Oryctolagus cuniculus: one gene and its partners. The protein of the gene in region 1 binds, or shares a complex with, the protein of each later gene. Links are inferred from orthologs where the notes say so. Each region holds a gene or a part of one and is shown in the gene's direction. Other genes may lie near its edges. The genes, in order: SMC2, NCAPH2, NCAPD2, NCAPG, NCAPD3 and NCAPH.

What was found.
Region 2: the proteins of SMC2 (region 1) and NCAPH2 are in contact, whole or in part, in a cryo-EM structure (PDB 9F5W), measured with the Homo sapiens proteins. The link is inferred for Oryctolagus cuniculus from reciprocal best matches to the Homo sapiens genes SMC2 and NCAPH2. Residues at the interface, in NP_001036015.1 of Homo sapiens: Leu93, Thr125, Gln128, Asp129, Cys132, Gly135, Leu136, Asn137, Met173, Tyr174, Lys177, Lys178; in NP_689512.2 of Homo sapiens: Glu46, Phe53, Ile54, Glu55, Leu58, Leu59, Gly62, Ser63, Ala64, Cys65, Val66, Lys69, Tyr73.
Region 3: SMC2 (region 1) and NCAPD2 share a complex: the UniProt entries of both Homo sapiens proteins name them as parts of the condensin complex. The link is inferred for Oryctolagus cuniculus from reciprocal best matches to the Homo sapiens genes SMC2 and NCAPD2.
Region 4: SMC2 (region 1) and NCAPG share a complex: the UniProt entries of both Homo sapiens proteins name them as parts of the condensin complex. The link is inferred for Oryctolagus cuniculus from reciprocal best matches to the Homo sapiens genes SMC2 and NCAPG.
Region 5: the proteins of SMC2 (region 1) and NCAPD3 are in contact, whole or in part, in a cryo-EM structure (PDB 9F5W), measured with the Homo sapiens proteins. The link is inferred for Oryctolagus cuniculus from reciprocal best matches to the Homo sapiens genes SMC2 and NCAPD3. Residues at the interface, in NP_001036015.1 of Homo sapiens: Arg112, Ala122, Asn123, Asn124, Thr125, Arg126, Leu218, Lys222, Arg225, His229, Trp940, Asn942, Ala943, Glu944, Phe948, Arg981, Met985, Arg986; in NP_056076.1 of Homo sapiens: Asp31, Met72, Ile80, Pro127, Gly128, Ala131, Phe135, Pro137, Asp141, Lys235, Gln237, Gln240, Leu1121, Asn1196, Asn1200, Pro1203.
Region 6: SMC2 (region 1) and NCAPH share a complex: the UniProt entries of both Homo sapiens proteins name them as parts of the condensin complex. The link is inferred for Oryctolagus cuniculus from reciprocal best matches to the Homo sapiens genes SMC2 and NCAPH.

The regions. Positions count from the first base shown.
Region 1 is NC_091432.1:207,964,379-207,967,878, forward strand, and holds part of SMC2 (structural maintenance of chromosomes protein 2), read left to right. Parts: intron 1-2,867; coding exon 2,868-3,015; intron 3,016-3,500. UniProt on the Homo sapiens protein: Central component of the condensin complex, a complex required for conversion of interphase chromatin into mitotic-like condense chromosomes.
Region 2 is NC_091442.1:123,428,165-123,432,258, forward strand, and holds the start of NCAPH2 (condensin-2 complex subunit H2), read left to right. Parts: upstream 1-1,294; 5' UTR 1,295-1,416; coding exon 1,417-1,524; intron 1,525-4,094. Other genes in the region: LMF2 (lipase maturation factor 2), read right to left, coding at 1-177, 281-309, 448-701, 1,023-1,116. UniProt on the Homo sapiens protein: Regulatory subunit of the condensin-2 complex, a complex that seems to provide chromosomes with an additional level of organization and rigidity and in establishing mitotic chromosome architecture.
Region 3 is NC_091440.1:102,990,232-102,993,731, reverse strand, and holds part of NCAPD2 (condensin complex subunit 1), read left to right. Parts: intron 1-863; coding exon 864-939; intron 940-1,200; coding exon 1,201-1,259; intron 1,260-1,333; exon of another isoform or gene 1,334-1,664; intron 1,665-1,740; coding exon 1,741-1,922; intron 1,923-2,212; coding exon 2,213-2,355; intron 2,356-3,233; coding exon 3,234-3,361; intron 3,362-3,431; coding exon 3,432-3,500. UniProt on the Homo sapiens protein: Regulatory subunit of the condensin complex, a complex required for conversion of interphase chromatin into mitotic-like condense chromosomes.
Region 4 is NC_091433.1:12,948,446-12,952,579, forward strand, and holds the start of NCAPG (condensin complex subunit 3), read left to right. Parts: upstream 1-1,334; 5' UTR 1,335-1,544; coding exon 1,545-1,655; intron 1,656-2,630; coding exon 2,631-2,834; intron 2,835-3,978; coding exon 3,979-4,134. UniProt on the Homo sapiens protein: Regulatory subunit of the condensin complex, a complex required for conversion of interphase chromatin into mitotic-like condense chromosomes.
Region 5 is NC_091432.1:128,339,788-128,343,287, reverse strand, and holds part of NCAPD3 (condensin-2 complex subunit D3), read left to right. Parts: intron 1-1,858; coding exon 1,859-2,041; intron 2,042-2,628; coding exon 2,629-2,792; intron 2,793-3,009; coding exon 3,010-3,149; intron 3,150-3,500.
Region 6 is NC_091433.1:111,235,354-111,239,479, reverse strand, and holds the start of NCAPH (condensin complex subunit 2), read left to right. Parts: upstream 1-1,326; 5' UTR 1,327-1,426; intron 1,427-3,940; 5' UTR 3,941-3,987; coding exon 3,988-4,057; intron 4,058-4,126. UniProt on the Homo sapiens protein: Regulatory subunit of the condensin complex, a complex required for conversion of interphase chromatin into mitotic-like condense chromosomes.

The DNA.
Region 1 (3,500 bases):
ATCAAACTGATTTGCATGTTATTTAATTGTTCATCAGAACAAAGCCCTGTGCTCTTTAAAGAAAGACACTAAGCAATGTAATAACCACAGTGTTAGGGATCGAATAAAAATAATATGACAAAAATTAAGAAAAAGGACTATACAGAAAAGTCAGTCAGTAGAAACAGAACAAGAAATGACAGAAGTAGGAGACAAGGAAATCAGAGTTAGATGCTCTATTTTCAAGAATTACCAAGAAAATGAACATAATAATTCTAAGTTCTACTTGATTTTAATAGTATTTTTACCTTGAGAAGCTATAAGATAAAAAAGTATACCTGAAATGAATTTTACTGCCAGAGGTAACAGATCTGACTCTGAAAGAAAAATGCTTAAACTTGAAGATACATTAGTAGATTTTATTTAAGCTAAACTGAAAAATTAAAAACTAAAGCTAAAGAGCTTTAATATCCTGTGAGAGGCTACCTGACATACATATAACTGAAGTTTCAAAAGAAGGCAGACAGAAAGATACCATTATTTAATGATCCCAGATATTGCAGATATAATGAATTCTGAAACCAATACATTTTGGTTTTATGAATTCCAGGTAGGATAAACACAAACACAGTAATCCTGCAAGTCATGTATAAAATTGCTGACAGCCAGTGATTAGGAGAAAAATCTTAGAAGAAACCAGGGGAAAAGAGGTAAATTAATTCTTGTCCAGAAGTCTAGGATATCTATAGGGCTCAAAGAAAAATGTGTCAATCTAGAATTCTGTATCTAACAGAAAAAGTCTTCACATTGAAGGTGTTATGCTTTTACAGAAAAACAAAAGCTAAACATTTTGTTATAACTACTACAGATTGAAGGAAATTCTCAGGCAAAAGTAAAATGATACCAGATGGAACCTTGTGTTTACTTAAGGGAATGAAGAGGGTTGGCTAAAACATGCCTTAGAGAACAATGATGCAGAAACTCAGCATACCAAGAAACTTAAAAGATCATGTGACCTTTGCTGCAGCCAGCCAGATAAAAAATTAAACCCTCCCAAGAAAAATTCTAAATATTTACATATGGAAATTGATTTAGTAATTTTTTCTCCTACAGAATGTACAGTTCCTAGTCCTTGATTTGTTCTCATATTATAACTCTTATTTGTAGAAAATATTGATCTGTTGATTTTCCCTATGAACATCTTTGCGATTTTGAGTAGAAATATATTCCAGCTCATACTTCATGATTGATACAATTTCTAAATAGGTTAAGATGTGAAAATAGCTCTAGTTGTTTGTTAATCAAAATTGAATCCCATAATTTAAATCCCAGTATCATTATTTAGAAAATACTTATTTTTAAGACTTATCTGTTTGAGAGGCAAAGAGATTTTCCATCCTCTGCTTCACTCGCCAAATGGGTGCAACTGCCAGGAGCCTGGAAATGGAGCAGCTGAGACTCTTAACTGGTGTTCCACTGTGGGATGCCAGCATTGCAGCAAGCAGCTTAATTTGCTGTGCCACAACATGGCTCCCCCAGAACACATTTAGAAGAGAATAGAAAATGGATGTACCCCTTCCTACTGAATCCTATAAATTATTACATAACTAAAATACTTTAAAATTATTTTTGGATACACCATGATCAAGTTTAAAGCTTAACGTCTTAAGCATTTGGCATAGAGAAAGCTAAAGAAAAATATTTTTTTATGTTACCTGAATGACCTCAGCTTTTGGCTGTAGTGGTTCAGTCTCAATATGCTTGTACGACTTCATGCATTTCTTGTTTCCCTTCCACTGTTGCACACTCCTCCACACACACACACACACACAGTTGGTAGCTTCATTAATAGCCATTTGGAATGCTGTAAGCATTGAATTATTTATTATAAAATTGTATTACAAGAGGTATTTGTAATTGTATTTTTCAAATAATTTATAAATATTTTATAAATGCTTTTTAATTGAAATACATTTAAGAAAAATATAAAGACTTGGCCGGCGCCGTGGCTCAATAGGCTAATCCTCCACCTTGCGGCGCCGGCACACCGGGTTCTAGTCCCGGTTGGGGCGCCGGATTCTGTCCCGGTTGCCCCTCTTCCAGGCCAGCTCTCTGCTATGGCCAGGGAGTGCAGTGGAGGATGGCCCAGGTGCTTGGGCCCTGCACCCCATGGGAGACCAGGAAAAGCACCTGGCTCCTGGCTCCTGCCAGGATCAGCGCGGTGCGCCGGCTGCAGCGGCGGCCATTGGAGGGTGAACCAACGGCAAAGGAAGACCTTTCTCTCTGTCTCTCTCTCTCACTGTCCACTCTGCCTGTCAAAAAAAAAAAAGAAAAAAAAAAAAAAAGAAAAATATAAAGACTGATTTCAATATCAGAATGCAAATAGATGCAGTTAAAAGGAGTGGTAAGCAAGTTAGAAGAAAATAGATCATGGTTATGGAATCTCGGCATAAGGTATAACTACAAATTCTAGGTAAGAATTGGCTGAACTTCTGACACTGAAGTACTTAGAGTTACAGATCATAATCTATACAATGCACTAGCAAATAAAAATATAAGGAAAAAATGCATAGTATCTGTGTGCATGCTCAGTGTAGGTGTATATATAATAAAAGTGGAAAATGTCACCTAAGTCAGTTATAAAGGTAAGTACCAAAATACGACAGTATCAGAATTGTCTTATAAAAGGAGAATGCTCATGAAGGAAAATGAAAAGCTAAAATAAACATTTTAATACGAAAATACTGAAGTTTGAAACTTAAACACTCTTTATATGACTTGATCATAAAACTGTACTATTTGTCCTAATAGGACTACAGATTTGCTTTAGGGTTTGGTGATAAGTAGTAAAAAAAATAATGGTTCTTTTTCAACTCCACTTTTCTTAGGTCTTTAGTGGCTCTGTCATTAATACTGTCTATGCTCCTCTTCAAACCTGCTCCAATTTATATCTTGGATGAGGTAGATGCAGCCTTGGATCTTTCTCATACCCAGAATATTGGGCAGATGCTGCGTACTCATTTCACACATTCTCAGGTAAGGCCCATAAAAAAATTCTCAGCTGTGGTTTATGTGGAATATCTGTTTTTCTAGAACTATTCTTTTAAGATATTTAGGATTAAAGGGCACTCTAAAGCATTTTCTGCCTTATTTTCATAAACTTATGTTACAATGAGCATAGAATGTTTTAGTGTACCTTTAAAATAAGAGCCAGTCATTCAGATTATTGGTTGTATGAGAGAGAATCCAGTTTAGTCATAATATATGTGGGGAGCAACTCGGACTAGACTAAGTTACTGGAATTAAGACTTATTCTATGCATCTGCTCTCCCACAATATGGCGCTGAGAAGGGAGAAACAGCTTCTACACAGCTGCCTCCAGTTCAACCAATAAACTGTAGGACCTGCTCCTGATTGCAGGAGAGCAGCGTACTCGGCGTGTGGGTAGCAGAGTTGGGATTGGTGGAAGAGGACTATAAAGGAGGAGAGAGACAACATGCACCAGGAACATCTAAGGGGAA
Region 2 (4,094 bases), on another chromosome or scaffold:
CCTGAGGCGAACATGAGGCGAAACAGCAGCCAGCGCACCAGCCAGAAGGGGAGGCCCTCGTGGGGTGAGGCCCCCTCCGACCGGCCCTGGGGGGCCTGCTTGCGGCGTCGGCAGAGGGGCCACCCCAGCGGGGCCACCAGCACAGCCAGGAAGCCCGTCTCCAGCAACAGGGAATCCCTGCGGGGACACCAAACAGCACAAAGGACCCTTCCCCATCAAGACTGTGCCCGAGGAACAAACCCCCCACTCTGCCCAGCCCCCTTGCCCAGCAGCCACTCACCACTGGAAATAAAGGAACACCTGGCCCACCTGCGGGGAGAAGAGGTGTCAGGGGCAGGCGTGTGCGTCTGCGCAGTGCGGGGCGGGGCGGGCTGCAGTGGTCGCGCGATGCCCCCCCCCCCCCCCCCCCCCCCCCGGTGCGGCAGGGCGGCCAGCAGCCCCACTTGCCTGGTAGGCCGACAGGTAGGCGGCCCACAGAAGCAGGTAGACCAGGAGGTGGCGCAGCGGGCGCAGCAGCAGGGCACCCAGGGCCAGCAGCGTGCCCAGCAGGCTGAGCAGTTCCAGGCCCTGGGCGGTGTCCAGCCCCAGCACGGGAGCCTCCCACAGCAGCGTCGGGGTCTCCCACAGCTGCTGCAGGCGCCCCTTGCCCTGTGGGCGCAGCGTCCTCCGCGCGGGCAGGATGCCCTCGGGGCCGTACAAGCCTGTGGGAAGGCGCGTCAGGCCGAACCCGCCCGCTCCGGGGCCCCCGGCCAGCCCTCCCCAGCCGAGGTCCGCGGGGGCGGCCCCCCGGCCCCCGCCCCCGCCCCCACGGGGCCCCCGTCCTCATCCGCCGGCCAGAGCCCGGTCCGCACCGAGGCCACCGGCGCCCGCTCCGGGTGGCGTCACGCCCACGGCGCGTCTTGCGGCCCCGCGGGACGCCCACCGCTGCCTCTACCCCTCGCGCAAGGCCGGACCCTCCCCCGCCTGCGGACGGCGCGGGAGAGGAGCGGGCGAGAGGACCCGCGCGCCCTCGGCTCCCTCACCCGGGATCTGCATGTACAGGGAGGCGAAGGCGAACATGAAGATCGCCGCCACGCCCTGCAGAAAGAGCTGCCGCGGGAGCCGGGAGCCCGCCATGTCCGCTACGCGGCCCGCTGGAGCAGAGCCCACGCCGGCCCGGCCCGGCCCCGCCCCGCCCCGCCCCGCCCCGCCCCGCGCGCCCCGCGGCCCTCCCTGGGCGTTTCCGCCACCCGGCGCCGGAGTTCCCCGCGCGGAGCGCCAGCCGCGGTGACGTCATAAGCACGCGCCGCGCCGCGCACGCGTACTTCCTGGGCGGGAAACAGCAAAATGGCGCCAGAACTAGTGGCGGGCTGAGGACGCGGGCCCCCCTCGGACGCCCGCCCTGTGGCCTTCGGGCCGCCCGGCCCCCTCCCGGACATGGAGGACGTGGAGGCGCGCTTCGCCCACCTCCTGCAGCCCATCCGCGACCTCACCAAGAACTGGGAGGTGGACGTGGCGGCCCAGCTGGGCGAGTACTTGGAGGAGGTGAGGGCGGCGGGGGAATGGCGCGGGGCGGCGACGCGGACCGGGGGCCGCCGGGGACCCCGCTGCCTCCGCGTCCGTGGCCGCGCTCGGCCTCAGGCTTGCTGTGGCGCCCCGCCCCCCCGTTCCTCTGTCAATGCACCCGGAGCTGCTACTGCTGGGAGCTGTGGAACCGGTTCGGTAGGCGGCGGCCGCCGTCGGGAGGGAGGAGGCGAGAGGGCTGCGGCGTTCTCGGGGTTCTGTGCCTGGGGCGGGTCGCCTGCCGGGACCCCGCCGCTTCACCCGCGCTCGGGTCCTGACGTCAGCGCCCGCAGGGTCCTCGCCCAGCAGCTCCCTCCGCCTTGAAACAGCGGCGACGAAGGTTTCTTCCTATTTTTGTGCTTGTTTTTCTCCGGAGTGTTGAGATCCCGGGGGAGGGGGCGGCTCGGGTCCCCTTCTGGCACGTTTTCCTGCACAGTCTCATTTCGGTGGTTGTATTTCCACTTTATTCGAAAGGCAGAGAGACCGTTTTCATTCTCTGGTTTGCTTCCCGAATACCCACAGCAGCCAGAGATGGGCTGAAGCCAGGAGCCCAGAACTCGATCCGGGGCACCCAGGTGCTTGGCCACCATCTGGTGCGGAGCGTGCTTCGGCAGGAAGCAGAGGAGCCAGGACTCAAGCCCGGCCCTGTGGCGGGGCCCAGGCTTCCTGTCGCCCTGGACGCCCGCCGGCTTTCCATGGCTGTAAATACTGCCTGGCGGTCAGCGTTGTGGCCCCAGGAGTCGCGGCTGCTCCACTTCGGAGCCGGTTTCCCGCTGAGGAACCTGGGAGAGAAGTGGAAGATGGCTCGGTTGCTTTGTCCCCTGCACCCGCCTGGGAGACCTGGATGGAGTTCCAGGCTTCAGCTTGGCCCAGGCCCACCGTCACCACCTGGGGAGTGCAGGTGGAAGTTACCTTCTCTCTGTTACTCTGCCTTTTGGATAAGTACATTTTTTAAAAGTTGCCTTTTTTTCCAAAGACTTTATTTATTTGAGAGTCAGAGTGACAGAGACAGAGAGAGAGGTCTTCCATCCACTCGTTCACTCCGCAAATGGCTGGAGCTGTGCTGATCAGGAGCTTCTTCCAGGTCTCCCTCATGGGTGCAGGGCCCAAGGACTTGGGCCATCCTCTGCTGCTTTCCCAGGCCATAGCGGAGAGCTGGATTGGAAGAGGGGCAGCTGGGACACGAACTCACGCCCGTATGGGATGATAGTGCCACAGGCAGAGGCTTAGCCTGCTATGCCACAGTGCCACAGTGCTGGCCCCGATAAATCTTTAAAAGAAAAGAGTAGTTCCGGCCGGCGCCGCGGCTCACTAGGCTAATCCTCCGCCTGCGGCGCCGGCACCCCGGGTTCTAGTCCCGGTCGGGGCGCCGGATTCTGTCCCGGTTGCCCCTCTTCCAGGCCAGCTCTCTGCTGTGGCCAGGGAGTGCAGTGGAGGATGGCCCAGGTGCTTGGGCCCTGCACCCCATGGGAGACCAGGAGAAGCACCTGGCTCCTGGCTCCTGCCATCAGATCAGTGCGGTGCGCCGGCCGCGGCGGCCATTGGAGGGTGAACCAACGGCAAGGGAAGACCTTTCTCTCTCTGTCTCTCTCTCTCACTGTCCACTCTGCCTGTAAAAAAAAAAAAAAAAAAAAAGAGTTCCCTGCCTAAAACCCCTCGTGTGTTTTCCTGCACTCAGGTTAAAATCCAGAGTTCCTCCCTCCGTCTGTTTCAGCCTCGCTGTGACCTGTCCTCAGCCTGCGAAGCTGGGAACTCGGTCCGGCTGTCCCGTGCGGGTGGCGGGCACCCAGTTGTTTGAGCTCTCGCGGCTGCATTCCTGCAGGGGCAGGGGCAGGGGCTGGAGCTGGGACCAGACCCACGCTCTCTGCTGCGGGACACGGGCACCTGAGCTGCTCGGCCGGACGCCTGCCCCCAGGCCTGGTCGTCCAGGTGGAGGGAGCCTGTGTCTGAAGGTTCTGGGGTGGGAGGGTGCCCGGTGCAGGGGGCCCTGTGGGACTGCCATGCGGTGAGCAGGGTAGGGGTGCTCGGAGAGGGAGGTGCTTGCCGAGTGTGCCGGGAGCCGGTAGGCGTCTGAGTGGAGCAGCGTGAGTACTGCTGGTGGGTGCAGTGAGGGAGCAGAGCAGCAGGAACACTGGCGTGCAGAGGCCCTCCCGGGAGGGGGACGTGGAATTGGCAGGGGTTGGTGGGGTGAGAGGAGCTGCTCGAGCGTCTGGGTGTGGGTGGGCGGGGCATCGGGTTCAGCTGCACTTGTTCCGTAGGCGTCCGGTGTGGTGTTGAAGGAGGCACTGGGTGTGGGGTCCTGGGAGCAGGTGTGCTGGCGGGGCTGGGGTCACAGCAGGAGGGCTGCTTGATTGTCCTGTCCTGCTCCTGTGTCCTCGTCCGGCGGCTGACCCAGGCGCCCTTGTTGTTCATCGTCAGTGGAAGCAGCTCCTCCCCTCTGGGTGCTGCCGTGGTGCCCGGGAGGCTCACTCCCCAGAGCTGGGTCCTGCCTCTGCCGACGCCTCGGTGCACGGTGGTGGCTCCTCACCTGCCTGCTGTGTTCCATCCGTTTC
Region 3 (3,500 bases), on another chromosome or scaffold:
AAGCATTTGGGCCATCTTTTGCTGCTTTCCCAGGCACGCTAGCAAGGAGCTGAATCAGAAATAGAGCAGCGGGGACTCTAACCTGTGCTCATGTGGTATGATGGCATCACAGGCAGCAGCTTATTTATTTGAAAGGCAGAGTTACAGAGAGGCAGAGAGAGAGATCTTCCATCCGCTGGTTCACTCCCCAAATGGCCACAATGGCTGGAACTGGGCCAATCTGAAACCAGGAGCCAGGAGCTTCTTCTGGGTCTCCCATGCAGGTGCAAGGGCCCAAGGACTTGGGCCATCCTCCACTGCTTTTCCCAGGCCATAGCAGAGAGCTGGATTGGAAATGGAGCTGCCAGATCTCAAACCAGTGCCCATATGGGATGCTGGCACTCTAGGCGGTGGTTTTACCCGCCATACCACAGCACTGGCCCCAAAGTTAATGTTTTGATTTGGAATAAATATTTGCACTACAGTTATATAGGATTTAACAATATTTAGGTGAAAGGTACAGGAACTGTACTGTTACACCACTTTTTCGTAATTTCAAAATAAAAAGTTAATTTAAAAAGTTCTCAGTTTGCTATAACTTGGACAAGTCACATAAGAACTATGAAGACGTAGTTTCTTTTCCCATGAGATAGGCATGAGTGTCTGCTGGATCTAGCTTAGATGTGTAGTGAAACTCAACTGGGGTTTTAATTGTAAAACATATATATCATTATAATTATTGCAGGTTTCAAGGAAAAGTTTTCCATCTGTCTTTTGTGATTCTAGCCATTAAAGCAATAAACCTGGTTTTCTGCCATGAATAGAATTTACCAAAAAGGTCTCTTTTCCCTTCCAAATTGACCAGTTTCTTTGATCCTTTGTAGCATTTCAGGCTGCCTTCCGAGCTCAGGGGCCCCTGGCTATCCTGCAGCACTTTGATACCATCTACAGCATTTTACAGTAAGTGAAACACCCAGCGGCACATGGTGGCTATTGCCCTGACCTCGCATGCTAGTCCTGAAACTCCAGATTCTAAGTGCACGGATAAATGGTCATAGGTGCACATCTCTACTGATCAGCATTTGCCCAATTTGCTGCTGTATGTATTCCGTTGAGCAGTTTCCCATGTTTGTCAAATGTAGGATTCCTCAGGTTCGATCTGAACTACTACAATGGCTCTGCAGGTTCCTGTCTCACCCTCGCACTTTGTTTCCCTTGTAGTCACTTTCGAAGTATAGACGCTGGCCTCAAGGAAGATACTCTGGAATTCCTGATGAAAGGTGTTTATGGGTCAGAGAGTAGGGGGCGGAAGGTTCCTGTGGTTTGTGTGTTTATTATTTCTTCCATTTTGTCAGCCACATGATGATATCAAGGCTGTTGTGATTCAGTTGGTCTGGCTAAGCCCTGGGACCTTTGACATCTTAAGGTCTGTAATCTTGGTGGGCGATACAGAGTAGTGTGCGTTCGCTGTAAGGGCAGACCAACACAAACTACTGTTTCCTACTTTTGAGCTGCCTCTCTTGAATAGAGGTCAATCTTCCAGTTGCCAGGGAGAATTGGGTAACTGGAGTGAGAGAGCAGGAACAGAGCACGTTCGGGTTGTCAGGAGTCAGAGGTCCCAAAGGACTTAGCTTATAGCATGGCCACTGAGAGATGAAACACAGATCTTTGGTAATCTGATGGCTGCAAGTGCTGGATTTCGTGAAGTTGGAATACATGAAGAAAGCGAATGAAACCGACTCCCGGATTCTCCCCTCACAGTGGTGTCGCGCCACTCCCAGGAGCTTCCAGCCATCTTGGATGATGCAACCTTGAGTATATCAGATAGAAATGCCCATCTAAATGCGCTGAAGATGAACTGCTATGTTCTCATACGCCTCCTGGAATCTTTCGAGACCATGGCCAGCCAGACAAACCACATGGACCTGGACCTTGGTGGGAAGGTAATTTGGAGTCCTGGCTCACTTCCTATGAGGTCTAGGGGGATAGGGGAATTGAGAGTAAAGAAGAGAATCCAATGATTCTGAAAATACTTTTGCCCTCTTAGGATTTAGGAAAAGGTACTCAAAAGTATCCTCACATTTCCTTCCCTGATAAGTAGTACCTGTGATCCTTCTCCTATGTTACCTTCTACCTTATCTTGATACTGGATAGTTTGGGCACTCAGACCAGCAGAGTTTGGCCCTCTGTTTCTTTATTTTTTTTCCTAAGTGTGTATTTATGCTCCTTTTAGGGTAAGAAAGCCCGGACCAAGGCAACGCATGGTTTTGATTGGGAGGAAGAGAGACAACCAATTCTTCAGCTTTTAACGCAGCTACTCCAATTAGATATTCGTCACCTGTGGAACCACTCAATCATTGAAGAGGAGTTTGTCAGGTAGGAGTTAGGAGGGCTACAGCTAAGCCAGAGCCATGAGGGCTCTGCTGCCAGAAATGCCTCTCAAATACTTCACTGTACGCCTCGGTTCTGCCTGTAATACATGCTAGTACAATCGCAGCATGGGACTATTGGAAAGTAGATAACAGAGTGTTAGAGACAAATGTGAATCTCTCATCTCTCATGCCCATTTATTCATGAGATGGTATTTACAGAGAATCTCCTCGGTGTGTGCCTGCCATTGTTATTGGCTCTGTAAACAGATGTTCTTGTCCCCCGACCCTGGAGTTTATAGTACACAATAGAAGACAAATTTTAAAACAAGTAAGAAATATATATATGTATGTTTTATGGTTTATTGCTATGAAACAAAGAAGAGCGAGATGGGTAATTTGATGGCAGAGTGTTGTGATTTTATTATTTTTTTAAAAGATTTATTTATTTGTGGGACTGATATGGTGTAGCCAGTAAAGCCTCCAGCTGTTGCACCTACATCCCATACGGGTGCCAGTTCATGCCCCGGCTGCTCCATCTCCAATCTGCTGCTTTCCCAGGCCATTAGCAGGGAGCTGCATCAGAAGCAGAGTGGCTGGGACTTAGCCTGGCTGGATAGGAAGTAAAGCAGCCAGGACATGAACGAGTGCTCATAGGGGACGCCAGCATTGCAGGTGGCAGCTTTACCTACTGTTCTACAGTGCTGGTGATCTTGAAGGCAGGAACGTACCCAGCTGGGATCAGCAAAGCAACTTGATACAGAAGGCGCTTGGAGGGTGAAAATGAGCAGACTCCAACTTTGGGGGCTTTAGTCATTGAACAGAGGCCCTGATAGGAATGAATCCAGACAGCTGATCTGCTTGTCTATTTTCTGCATTTCTCAGTTTGGTTACTGGCTGTTGCTATCGCCTTCTGGAGAACCCCACCATCAATCACCAGAAGAACCGGCCCACACGGGAAGCCATAACACACCTGCTTGGTGTGGCCCTGACACGTTATAACCACATGCTCAGTAAGTTATCCCTCCACCTGCTCTACCTTTTGCATTTTGCCCACCATTTCTCATGCGCGTACATCCACAGGTGCCACTGTGAAGATCATTCAGATGCTGCAGCACTTTGAACACCTGGCACCTGTGCTGGTGGCGGCTG
Region 4 (4,134 bases), on another chromosome or scaffold:
GATTCTTCATAAAATGGTTAAAACACAAAACAGTAGAATATATTCATTCAATGATTTATCTATATGTCCTTAATATAGAAAGCTTTTGTTCTCTAAAAGTTAACAGTAAAGTCTAAAAGTGTTATTTCTAGAGAGGGAAGACAACTCAAAAGGAGCAAGATGCACAGGCAGCTTTGTAAGGGTCTATTTCTTCAGGTGGTTATGGCTACATAGTGAGGAACAGGAGGGAGAAATGTCTTCCCTCCAACTTCCTAGGTTCTTTGGCTGGTCTACCAGTGAAGTTGCCCTAAGACAGATTCAACAGAAACAACAACAACAACAACAACAAAAAGTAAGGGACAGGAGTCCCAGAAAAAGAGATGACAGCTTACACTTACGGAATATCCTGGGCTACACAAAGCAACCGGGTTTCTGGTTGGGAGGTGGTGACACAAGTTATGAGAGGGTGCAAAGAGGAAACGTGTGGAGACTATAGATCAGCAGAGAACAGAAGTGTGAAGGAGTCCTCTTCCAGATACAGATAGTTCAGTAGTCTCCTAATTTCTTTGACAGACCTAACTTCAAGGATAGCTTTTCACAGCTCCTCCAGAGCTGGCAGTTCCTTATAACAGCTCAAAATAAGCCCAGCAAGTATATTTTAGAGAGGCATGTTCTCGTCTCCTACTGTCATGTTTTGGGGTGGTTTGTCCTAAGCAGCCCCCAATAAAAGTATTCGTTTTTGTCTGACGCAGTTTCACTTTTCTCCCCCAAAAAAGGTTTTAAAGACTGAGTTCCTGTTCCTCACCGTGACCACTTAGCTAGATTTTCCCATTCTCTCCGTTCTCCTTTAACACACTGTAGCTACGCAGGACTGTAAACTAAGCTTTGAAAGCTGGCACGTCCCGAGCCAGCTCAGCTAAATAAAATCATACGCTGCTTCCAGACGTCAGCCCCTCGGGCCCTGGAGAGACCGCGGCCCGTGGAGACCTCGGAACGCCTCCCTCAGCCTACCGGGGAGCGTCTCCCCGCTCACGAGCAGCCGGGCTGCGGTCCGGGCTTCCCGAACGCCCCATCTCCCCCTCCTCTCCGCATCTCCCGCCCCTGCGGCGGGAACACAGATTGTTCCCCTCAGCAGATCCCTGTTCTCACCCATGGAGGAGCTTTTTTTCTCGTCTCACCACCAGACGCACGATCCCGCTAGGCCTAGCGCCACCAGCCCTGTCCCGAAAGTAGAACAGCAGCTCCGCCAGCCCTCCCTGACGACACCACTTCCGGCCAAGCCAACGCCCCCTCTCCTTAGAAACGCCACTTCCCACCGGGAAACACCCGACGCGCATGCGCTCAAAGCGCGGGCAGAGCCAGAGGGACAGGATTCGGTTCTCTCCGCTCTCGCCTCTGGCGCGCTCGCGGAAGTCTCGCGGTATTTCCTTCTCTCGCGAGAGTTATTTGAACGTTCTGGCGGGTAACCACGCCCCAAGTGGCGTTCTGAGGAGAATTCGGTGTTGGGGCGGTCGGGCCAGAAGCACTGAAGCGGGCAAGGATAGTCCTGGCCGGGTCACCTCGCCATGGGAGCGGAAAAGAGAGTGCTGCCGGTTAAGGAGGCCTTTCAGCTGGCGCAGCAGCCGCACCAGAACCAGGCGAAGCTGGTGGTGGCGCTGAGCCGCACCTACGGCACGGTAAGCGCCGGAATGGCTGTGGGCCCTTCGCCGCCTTCGCCCAGCCCTGCCTTGGCTCAGCCTCCCCCAGGAGCTTCCCCGGGACCCTTCGGACTCGGCCCGCGCGACTCCACCTCCTCCGCTGTGGCGAGCCGCTTTGGAGTGAAGTACGGAGAGGTCGGGCGACTCGCCCAGAATGGCTGGAAGCCCTGGCGCCGTCCACTTTCTCTTCGCGGTCCTTACCCCCGGCCGGAGATGGGGGCGGCGCGAACCGTTAGTCCGGAGGGTGACCCGAGGCGTCCGGGCTCTCAGTGTCGGGTCGCCGAGTAGGTCGTGGACCCCAAGGCTCGGTGGTCCTTGCCCGTCGGGCCCCCGCTCACAGCAGAAAAGCCAGCCATCATCAAATCAGTCTCATCCCGCCCTATGTCAAATTGAGTCCAGCGTCCAAGCAGATTACTCGCGAGGACCTTTCCCTTCCTGTTCACCTAAATACCGTGTGTTTGTTTTGAGTGAAGCCGTGGGAAGAACAGGACAATGAAGCTCGGAAGATAGATTATCTTGAAGTCTAAGAAAAACTAAGTATAGCAAGGGCTTTGAGGATATGAGGTAGGATGTGAAAGTTTTATCAAAAAGGAATTGCGGGGTGATGAGCAAATTAAATACGGTACATAAAAAAGCCAGCGTAGGTTTTGAGTTTTTCCATGAAGAAGCATGCTTCTACTAACGTGATTCTAAAGACATGTAAAGAAGTATCAAAAGAGTCCATTCACTGTCAAAATTTATGGTTGCAGACTCTTTGGGGGAAGCAAATTACATCGTGGAGAGAAGTTTGTGCAAGCTTATTTTTCCCTTTTTGCTGGTGTGGATACTTCAGAGTTTACAAAAAAGTTTTTCGTTTGAATTAGGGCCGGTGCTGTCAGCAATGTTAAGGTAATGTTTTGGAAAAAAGTATTACCAGTGCAGTTCAGTTCGTGCAAGTTATCTTTTGTCTTTCAGATGAATGATAAAACAGTTTTTCATGAGGAGTTCATCCATTACCTTAAGTATGCTATGGTGATCTATAAACGTGAGCCAGCTGTGGAGAGAGTAATAGAATTTGCAGCAAAGTTTGTTACTTCCTTTCACCAATCAGATATGGAAGATGATGAAGAAGAGGAGGATGGTGGCATTTTAAATTATTTGTTTACTTTTCTCTTACAGGTATGTTGAAAGCTAACACCTTGGAGAAGTGTTGTAGAAGGTTTTACCGTAAAGTTTATATATTGTAGACAATGAAATGTCTGGTGATTGAGAAAGCATCTGACTTTTTATAGGAAATAGTAGAACTATCATTAAGATTAAAAAGTGTTTCTTAAAAAATGACTCCAGTAAGCTGCGCTGCGGCTCACTAGGCTAATCCTCCACCTGCGGCGCCAGCACACCGGGTTCTAGTCCCGGTAAGGGCACAGGATTCTGTCCGGGTTGCTCCTCTTCCAGTCCAGCTCCCTGCTGTGGCCCTGGAGTGCAGTGGAGGATGGCCCAAGTGTCTGGGCCCTGCACCCGCATGGGAGACCAGGAGAAGCACCTGGCTCCTGGCTTCAGATCAGCGCGGTGCACCGGCTGCAGCCCGCTGGCCACAGCAGCCAGTGCGGGGGGCGGGGTGAACCAACGGGAAAGGAAGACCTTTTTCTTTGTCTGTCTCTCTCACTGTCCACTCTGTCCAAAAAAACCCCAAAAGACTCCAGCATTAAATTTTTAATGACTTCTCAACCCTTTGTTACATGTTTGTTTTAAATGAGTTCTTTATTTTAGAAATAAAGTAAGAGTTCCTAAAAGAGCAATTTGTTCTTATTTATTTATTTGTTTTTATTTGACAGGCAAAATAGACAGAGAGAGACAGAGAAAGGTTTTCCTTCCATTGGTTCCACTCCCCAAATGGCTGCTGGATCCGGCGTGCTGCGCCAATCCAAAGCCAGGAGCCAGGTGCTTTTTCCCAGTCTCCCATGCAGTGTAGGGGCCCAAGCACTTGGGCCATCCTCCACTGCCCTGCCTGGCCACAGCAGAGAGCTGGACTGGAAGCGGAGCAACCGGGGCTAGAACTGGCGCCCATATGGGATGCTGGCTCGGCAGGCGGAGGAGTAACCAAGTGAGCCAGGGCAGTGCCCCAAGAGCAATGTGTTGTTATAGCAAATATTTCTTCTAGGCTGTGTTTGATTATATACAAAATATCTATTTACTGCACCGTGATCGTTAACCACTTCTGCAACTAAGGAGTTACTGTTGTAAATTCTTATAGAAAGTTCAAGTCATATGCATTGCTTAAAAATGATATGAGTGAATAAATTTTGATTTGTTTCTGTTTTAGTCTCATGAAGCAAATAGCAATGCAGTCAGATTTAGAGTATGCCAGCTCATAAACAAGCTTTTGGGAAGTATGCCAGAAAATGCCCAGATTGATGATCATTTGTTTGATAAAATTAATGAAGCTATGCTTATTAGATTAAAGGATAAGATTCCAAAT
Region 5 (3,500 bases), about 80 Mb from region 1:
GCCCAGGCACCAGTCCTTTCCTTAGGGTCTCCTGTGAGTTATGATGCCACGGACAGTGTACAGTCAGGACTCACAGTGCATGTGGGTTTACTTAGCAATACCCAGGTCACACAGGCCTGTGACGATTGTAGAGAGGATGGGGGGTCTGGCCAGAGGCTCCCCTAAAGCTGTCCTTTCCTCACGTGGCAGAGTCTGTGACGAGCTGACTCGCTGTGCTGAGCAGGTGAGTCCTAGTGGGGTTGAATTCCATTTTGAAGACTTTCTCGACTGGGATCTGTGACAGAGTCATCATCTCAGCACTTCCTGTGAAGGGTATTGCAGTCCCAGATTGGCAAGCTCAGGGAGTCACTGCCCTGTCCTGTGACAGCATGTCTGGGGACTTGGGCACCAGCCACCAACCTGGGCAACACCATCCCTGGGCTGGAGATTCTATTATGCAATAGGAGAACCCCGAGAAGCTCCATGCAGGCAAAGCCATGGTGTGTTTACTCACAGTACAGACCTAAACAAGCCCTCAGATTTTTCTGGAAAAATCTTTCACCCAGAAATTATTCCAGCATTTTTTCCTTTAATTGAACGGAGTCATTTCTCTGTTCACATTATGCATTTTTCCTCTTGAAAGAATTTTCTTTTTCCAAAAATTGCTACAGCAAAATTGACATTGTATTGACATAGTATTTCAAATAGCTTTTATCCTAGGGAAGTTAAGGTGGGAAAGATAGGCTCACTGCATGGAAAAAATGAGAACTTTAGATTACTTTATATTTATTTTTTTTTTTAATTTTTATTTGAAAGGCAGAAAGACAGGGACAGACAGGCGCAGAGAAAGAGAGAGATTTCCCATCTGCTGGTTCACCTACAACAGCCAGGATGGGCCAGGTCAAAGCCAGGATCCTAAAACTCAATCCAAGTCTCCCATGTGGGTGGCAGGGACCCAACTACTTGAGCCATCACTACTTCCTCCCAGGGGTGCACATTAGCAAGAAGCTAGAATCAGGAGCAGAACCAGACTCAAACCCAGGCACTCCAGTATAAGATGTGAACATCCTAAGCGTCATGTTAGCCACTGCCAAACGTACACCCCATTCTTACATTTTTATTGCCCTGTTTTAAGCCTCAGGGGAAAAAAAAGGCACTGAGAAGCTAATGAGACCACCTAAACACTTCAGACAAGCATACACCTATTTCTGATCACATCTGCAGAGGGTGCCCCAAAGGTGCTTTATGTCTGTGGCTGCCATGATTCTCTTCCTCCTCTGTGGAACCCACTCTTAGTAGCAGCTGAAAGGGAGGGTGGGTTTCCCTCCTCCCTCCCAGCTGGAGCAGCCGTGGATCCTTGTCTCCCTGCAATGCTGTTCTCTGCTGTGGTTTCTCTTAGGAGTGAGGCTGTGTCCCTGGCAGCCCCCTGGAAGACCTGAGAATGTCTTACCCAGGTGGACCTAAATCTTCGCAGGAGGGCACAGAGATGGGACCCAGGCATGGCCATGGTCAATGGGGAGCCAGAGGGGGACACTAACCAAGACAGATGAGCACTCTCAGGCTGCACCATGTCCTGTAACACACCCAGGAACCTTGTCTAAGCCAGAACCGTGACTTTCCCCCAGGAGGCACTGGGAGGTTGGCCTGACGGGAAGCAGAGACGAGAAGCTTCCTAAGAGATCAGAGCTATTAGTGAAATCTCACAGCCTGTTCACTTGTTTCTGTGGTCCACGCTAAGAGCAGTTAGTGTTTCCTTGATGTGTTAACCTGTTAGTTACTGCAGTAGAAAGGCTGTCCTCAGAAATAGGAGTCTTATTTATAAAATAGGCTTGTTTTTCTACCCAAGGAAACATTAAAGGATGCTTCTGGTGTGTTGTAGGAGGTGATGCAGGATTACCGGGATGAAGTCAAGGACTTCTTCGCTGTTGACAAACAACTGGCATCAGAACTTGAGTACGACATGAAGAAGTACAACGAACAGCTAGCCCAAGAGCAAGAGCTGGCCAAACTGGCGGAGGCGACTAGGACCACAGACAGTGCCGACGGGGCGCAAGCAGTGCAGGTAGACAGGAGGCTTCCACCTTAAGCGTGACCAGGTCTCCAGTCTGCCCTCTGCGGCAAGAGTCAGACCTTATGCTGCCTGCTGGCCACGGCCCAGTTCCTTTGTTGCCTGTGATACCTTGAGGCCTGCCCTCCCCCAGGGCCGTGTCACAGGGACTCCCGGGGAAGTCTTGTGATAGGAATGTGGAGAAACTTACACATGCCCAGAGAGCAAGATGCCACCAGGGGGCAGAACTTCTGATGCCCAAGGCTGTGGACACCCAGGTCTCTTTGACGTGCTGAGTATTTGCAGTCTTTTCACCTCTTAGGGTACGGTGTCCCCTGGGGTCTTGCTGGGTTCCCTGCTCCCCACATTCACTGTGTTCTCCCTGCCCTGGGGATTCCAGACAGATCTGCTCTGTTAAAAAGAGAAGAGGACGAACTGCACTTCCCGTTGTTTTTAATGCTACATCTCGCAGGGCAGTTTTCTAGTAGTTCTCTGTTTCTGAAGAGAAAGTTCTGCTTGCCTAGGGCTGATGCGATATTAAGATACATTTTGTATGGACTTGCTCACAGCACATGACAATTCGATTCCTTTTCTCTTAACAGGCTGCTCCAGGCTTAGAAACGCCAGCTCCCCCTGGCCAAGAAAATCCTGCTGTGCTCCCTGCCGTGCGCCAGCCCTCAACTCCCTGGTCAAGCACTGGCCATGCACCAACCTTGCCTCCTACACAAGAAATGGGACCATTGAAAATGTTAATGCCCAAAGCCAGGTAGAGAGCTCAGTGTGGCAGCCAAGGACGGTTCTCCACTACCGTCCCCAGGATCTGCTGTCCCCGCCAGGCATCAGCACACCCTCCCTTAGAGGTCAAGGCACGTGCGGATGAGCCGTGCTCTGGGAAGGACATGGGAAGGCACGGTGGTGTCTGTGCTGCCTCTGCAGGGCCTGCACTGTGAACGTCCCCATGTGTGGCTTCTTGTTCTCCACAGGCCCATGTCCCTGAGCACCATTGCGATCTTGAATTCCGTCAAGAAAGCAGTGGAGTCAAAGAGCAGGCATCAGAGCCGGAGCCTGGGAGTTGTGCCTTTCGCTTTAAATTCTGAAAGCCTGGACAAAACAAGCAATCACGGTAAGCCTTTGGGTTGGCCCCAGACAGAGTGAGAGCTTACAAATAAAACAGGCTGCTACTTACTCCTTTTAAAATGGTTTCTGTTTTCCCATCTTTAAACAATATTAATTGAAGATTTAGGATTGTGGGTAATAAAGCAGTGTATATTTGTGCTAAGAGATTTGGCAAATGGAGCAAACTCCAGACCTCACCATGGCAGTGTTCCTACTGCACACACAGTTTTGTTTATACATTTACTTGTATCATTTATAAATAATCTGCTTCCCTGTGCACACAATAATAAGCAGTGAGTGAGATTTTCTCCATGAACTCTTCTTTCAGAACTTCCACTAGTGATTCTGTAGCATTCCA
Region 6 (4,126 bases), on another chromosome or scaffold:
AGAACTGTTTCACCCTGAATGCCAACAGCATGCTTGAGAAGAAACACTGTAAAAGACTCCAGATGTGTGTGACAAGAAATTATAGGAGGGAGGCCGGAGCTGTAGGGCAGTGGGTTAAAGCTCCAGCCTGCAGTGGCGGCATCCCATATGGGCGCCGGTTCAAGTCCTGGCTGCTCCACTTCCCATCCAGCTCTCTGCTATGGCCTGGGAAAGCAATGGAGGATGGCCCAGGTCCTTGGGCCCCTGCACCCGCATGGGAGACCTGGAAGCTCCTGGCACCGGATCGATTCAGCTTCGGCTGTTGTGGTCATTTAGGGAGTGAACCAGCGGAACGTAAGACCTTTCTCTCTCTCTGGCTCTACCTCTCTCTGTAACTCTGTCTTTCAAATAAATAAATAAATCTTAAAAAAAAAATTACAGGAGGCTTTAGGGTTATCGGGGGAATCGCCATGGCCTTTCTCCCCTAAATACAATCCTTGGCCAGGGGAAGCAGAACGGACAGGGGCACCTTATACCCCCCTCACTTCTCCAACCTTTCACTGGAAGGGGGGAGTGGTTTCCAGGGAGACTTTCACAAGAATCAGTGAAAACGATGGGCTTCACTTATAAAAATAATTTTAAAAAGTACACAACGTTGATTTTGCACCCGTCCTCCCCTCTGCCCCCCAAAGTGCCTCATTCCGGAGCGGGCTCGCTCTCGCTGCTTCCAACCCACACACACCCCGTCTTCACTTAGCATCTCCTTAGCGTTTTGCGGCCCTCAAGGTACCGGTCCAGCGACACCTGGTTCTTCGGGGATCCGCCTCCCTTTTAGGGATGCCGCGATAGCAGAGCCCTCGGCTGTCCAGATCGACGCTCGGTCCCCAGCGCACAGTTCCGCGCCTGGCGCTCAGAAGGAGGGGGCATCTACACCATGACAACCACTCCATGGGCCTCCCCCGGAGTACGCCCCAGGGCCTGGCCCCTCAGCCCAGGCCGCCTCACTTCCGCGGCTACACCGGCAGGAACCCCGCCAACGGAGCGAGCGGTCTGCGCAGGCGCACTTCTGGCCCCGCCCACGAGGGACGTCACGCGGCCGTTACGCCGCCCGGGCGTCCAGGCGCGCGCGATTTAAATGCGTCTCGGAGCCCTCGAAGGCAAGATGGGTCCTCCTTACCCAGGTGAGGCCGGGGCCCGGGGGAGGCACGGTGCTCAGGGGCCGCTGTGAAGCGGTGCTCGGGGCGCGGGGAGAGCGGGCGCCGAGCGCGGCCCGGTTCGCGGAGACGGGGAGGCGAGGGCTCGGCGGGCGGTGGGCGCGCGCGGGGCTGGCCGGCTCCTGCGTTCCGCGGCCCTGCACCTTGCTGGCTTTTCTGGCCGTTGAACGGGCGAATTTCTCGGGAGAGATGTCTGTCATTTGCAGCGCGGCGGCACGGCTGTGGTTACCACTGTATGTTTAGCGTGCATGCATGTAAAGAGAAGAACAGATTAAAAATCCCTGGCCTCTTAGAACCTTAGGCCCGTGGACTGAGACATTTGGTCATCGTCATTTAGATCATAAAGCCATGGCGACGGCTGAGAACGCTAGGAAGACCTGGGCCAGAGTGCACCTGGGACCAGCATTTAGAAGAGGGTAGAAAAACTGGGGAGAGAGAGGTATTGCGGAATCCAAGAGTGGTTCCGAAAAGGACGGAGTCGGCAGCTGTCTCAAATGCTGCCAGAGAGAGAGAGAGAGAGAGAGAGAGAGAGAGAGAGAGACACGCAATCAGGGAAAGATCTGGGGAGCTGGGACCTGCCTTTCGTTCTCAACTGTTTCCCTCCGGGACAGGTGCTCCCTTCAGTACTGTTTGTTACGGTTTCTTGTCCCAAGGTCCAGCTCCCTACAGTGCCTGCCTCCAAAGGGTCACAAGTCCTCTTGATTTTGTTTCTAAAAATGTCTTTTGCCTCTTTCCTGTTTTGACTTCTTGTTTGTTTTGACCTCAGGTGAGAGTTTACTTAGTCCTACTCTTCTGTCACCAGGGAACATGTGAGGTTCTTGTTTTATCCTTGTTCATCACTCCTATTTGTTGTTTCATTGATGTATCACTTTTGTTTTTCTAAATATTTATTTATTTGAAAGGCAAAGGCAGAGTTAGAAGGGAAGTGGGGACGGAGGAGGTCTTCCATCCACTGGCTCATTCCCCAATTGGCTGCAATGGCCAGAGCTGCGCTGATCCGAAGCCGGAAGCCAGGAGCTTCTTCCAGGTCTCCCATGTGGGTGCAGGGACCCAAGGACTTGGGCCATCTTCTACTGCTTTCCCAGGCCACAACAGAGGTGGATCAGAAGTGGAGCAGCTGGGACTTGAATCAGTGCCTATATGGGATGCCGGCACGGCAGGTGGCGGCTTTACCTGCTATGCCACAGCGCTGGCACTGGCCCCAATGTATCACTTTTAAAATGTTTATTTTTGTTTATTTGAGAGACAGAGCTCCTATCAGCTGGTTTGCCTTCCAAATGACTACAATGGCCAGGACTGGGCCAGGGCAAAACCAGGAGCTGGGGACACAATCCAGGTCTCCCACATGGGTAGAGGGAAGCCAGCTACTTGAGCCACCACTGCCACTGCCTTCCAGGGTCCACGTGAGCAGGAAGCTGGACTCACAAATGGAGCCAGGACTTGAACCTAGGGCTGTGGGTATCCAAACCAGCAGCCGAAACACTCATACCTGCCCCGTCCCTTCATTTTTAATATGTTCCTATAAAATAGATTTTGCATATTTTCTGTATCACCAGTTCTGAACCAGCTGGGATCCTTATCCTTATTCCCATTAGGAAGATGAAGCAGCAAGTGCCTTGAGCATTTACTTGACCTCTCCCCAGCTGGTAAGAGAGACAGCTGGGTTTGAAGCCAGGTCTCTGACTCTGACATCTGCAAACTCTCCCACGGTCTCCCAGTTCTTCCTTTGTTTTCCAGGGATCCTGTTTCTTGCTCCACTGTAGTGGACCATAGCCACTCACTACCAGAGTCGCACCCTAGACCTTGTCATTAAACAATAGCCCATCACTCCGTCATCTCAGTTTTCAATACCCTGCCTCTCAGTGCCACCTTTGTCTTTCCGGCTCTGACAGTATTGTGATCCAGCAGACCTATATTCTGCTTCTCCCTGTCGCTCACCGCTCGCACATCCTTGGTCCCATCTTGGCTTGCATCCCTGCTAAGTCCGCATAACTCCTCCCTTGCCTCCTGGCTTCCTCATAACTGCTCACTGACCGCTCTCACAACCCTGGCTAATCCCGACCTTGCCTGCCCCGCACACCTGACGATGGTGGGAGAGAAACACCAGCCACGCTGAGTGGTCTCGGGGTCCTAGAGCTACCCAGCAGCCGCGCTGCTTCCCTGTTTCATTCACTGTTTCCTGCCTCCCCTTTCTCCTCTAACACCGTCTCTCCCACCCTCCCCTCAGCTGCTGGTGCTTTGTGTTCACTTCTGTTTTGCCGAGTAAATGAAAGCAGGGCCATCGTTGTGGCACAGTGGGTTAAGCTGTTGACTCTGACGTCAGCATCCCATATAGGAGCACAGTTCAAGTCCCAGCTGCTCCGCTTCAGCTGCCTGCTGCTGTGCTGGGGAAAGCAGAGGACGATGGACCAAGTGCTTGGGTCCTGCCACCCACGGCGGGGACCCGGGTCGGTGCTCCAGGCTCCTGATTTGGCCTGAACCAGCCCCAGCAGTTGCGGCCATTTGGGGAGTGAACCCTCCCTCTCCCTGTCTCTCTCACTCTACCTGTCAGATCTTAAAAAAAATAATCAAACCAGAACATCCACATGTCTGTTGTACCTGCTCCCCTACCTGTTTCCCCAAGAGAGAGCCTTTCCTGACCTCCCACCTCCTGCTTTGAAGAAAAAAAAAAAAAAACAAACTTTTTTTTCATAGCATTTGGCTCTGTGCCGTATATTTTCTAACTTCTTATTATGAAAATATTCAAGCATCCAGGGAAGTTGAAAGACTGATACAATAAGACCCTGATGCTCTGATGCCGATCCAGCAATTGTTAGCATTTTGCCATCTATACTTTACGGGAGTTTTGACCGATTCAGTTAAAAGTAAGTTGTACTTCACCCCTAAATTGTTTCTTATGCATTTACTAACAGTGTTGACATTCTGCATAATCA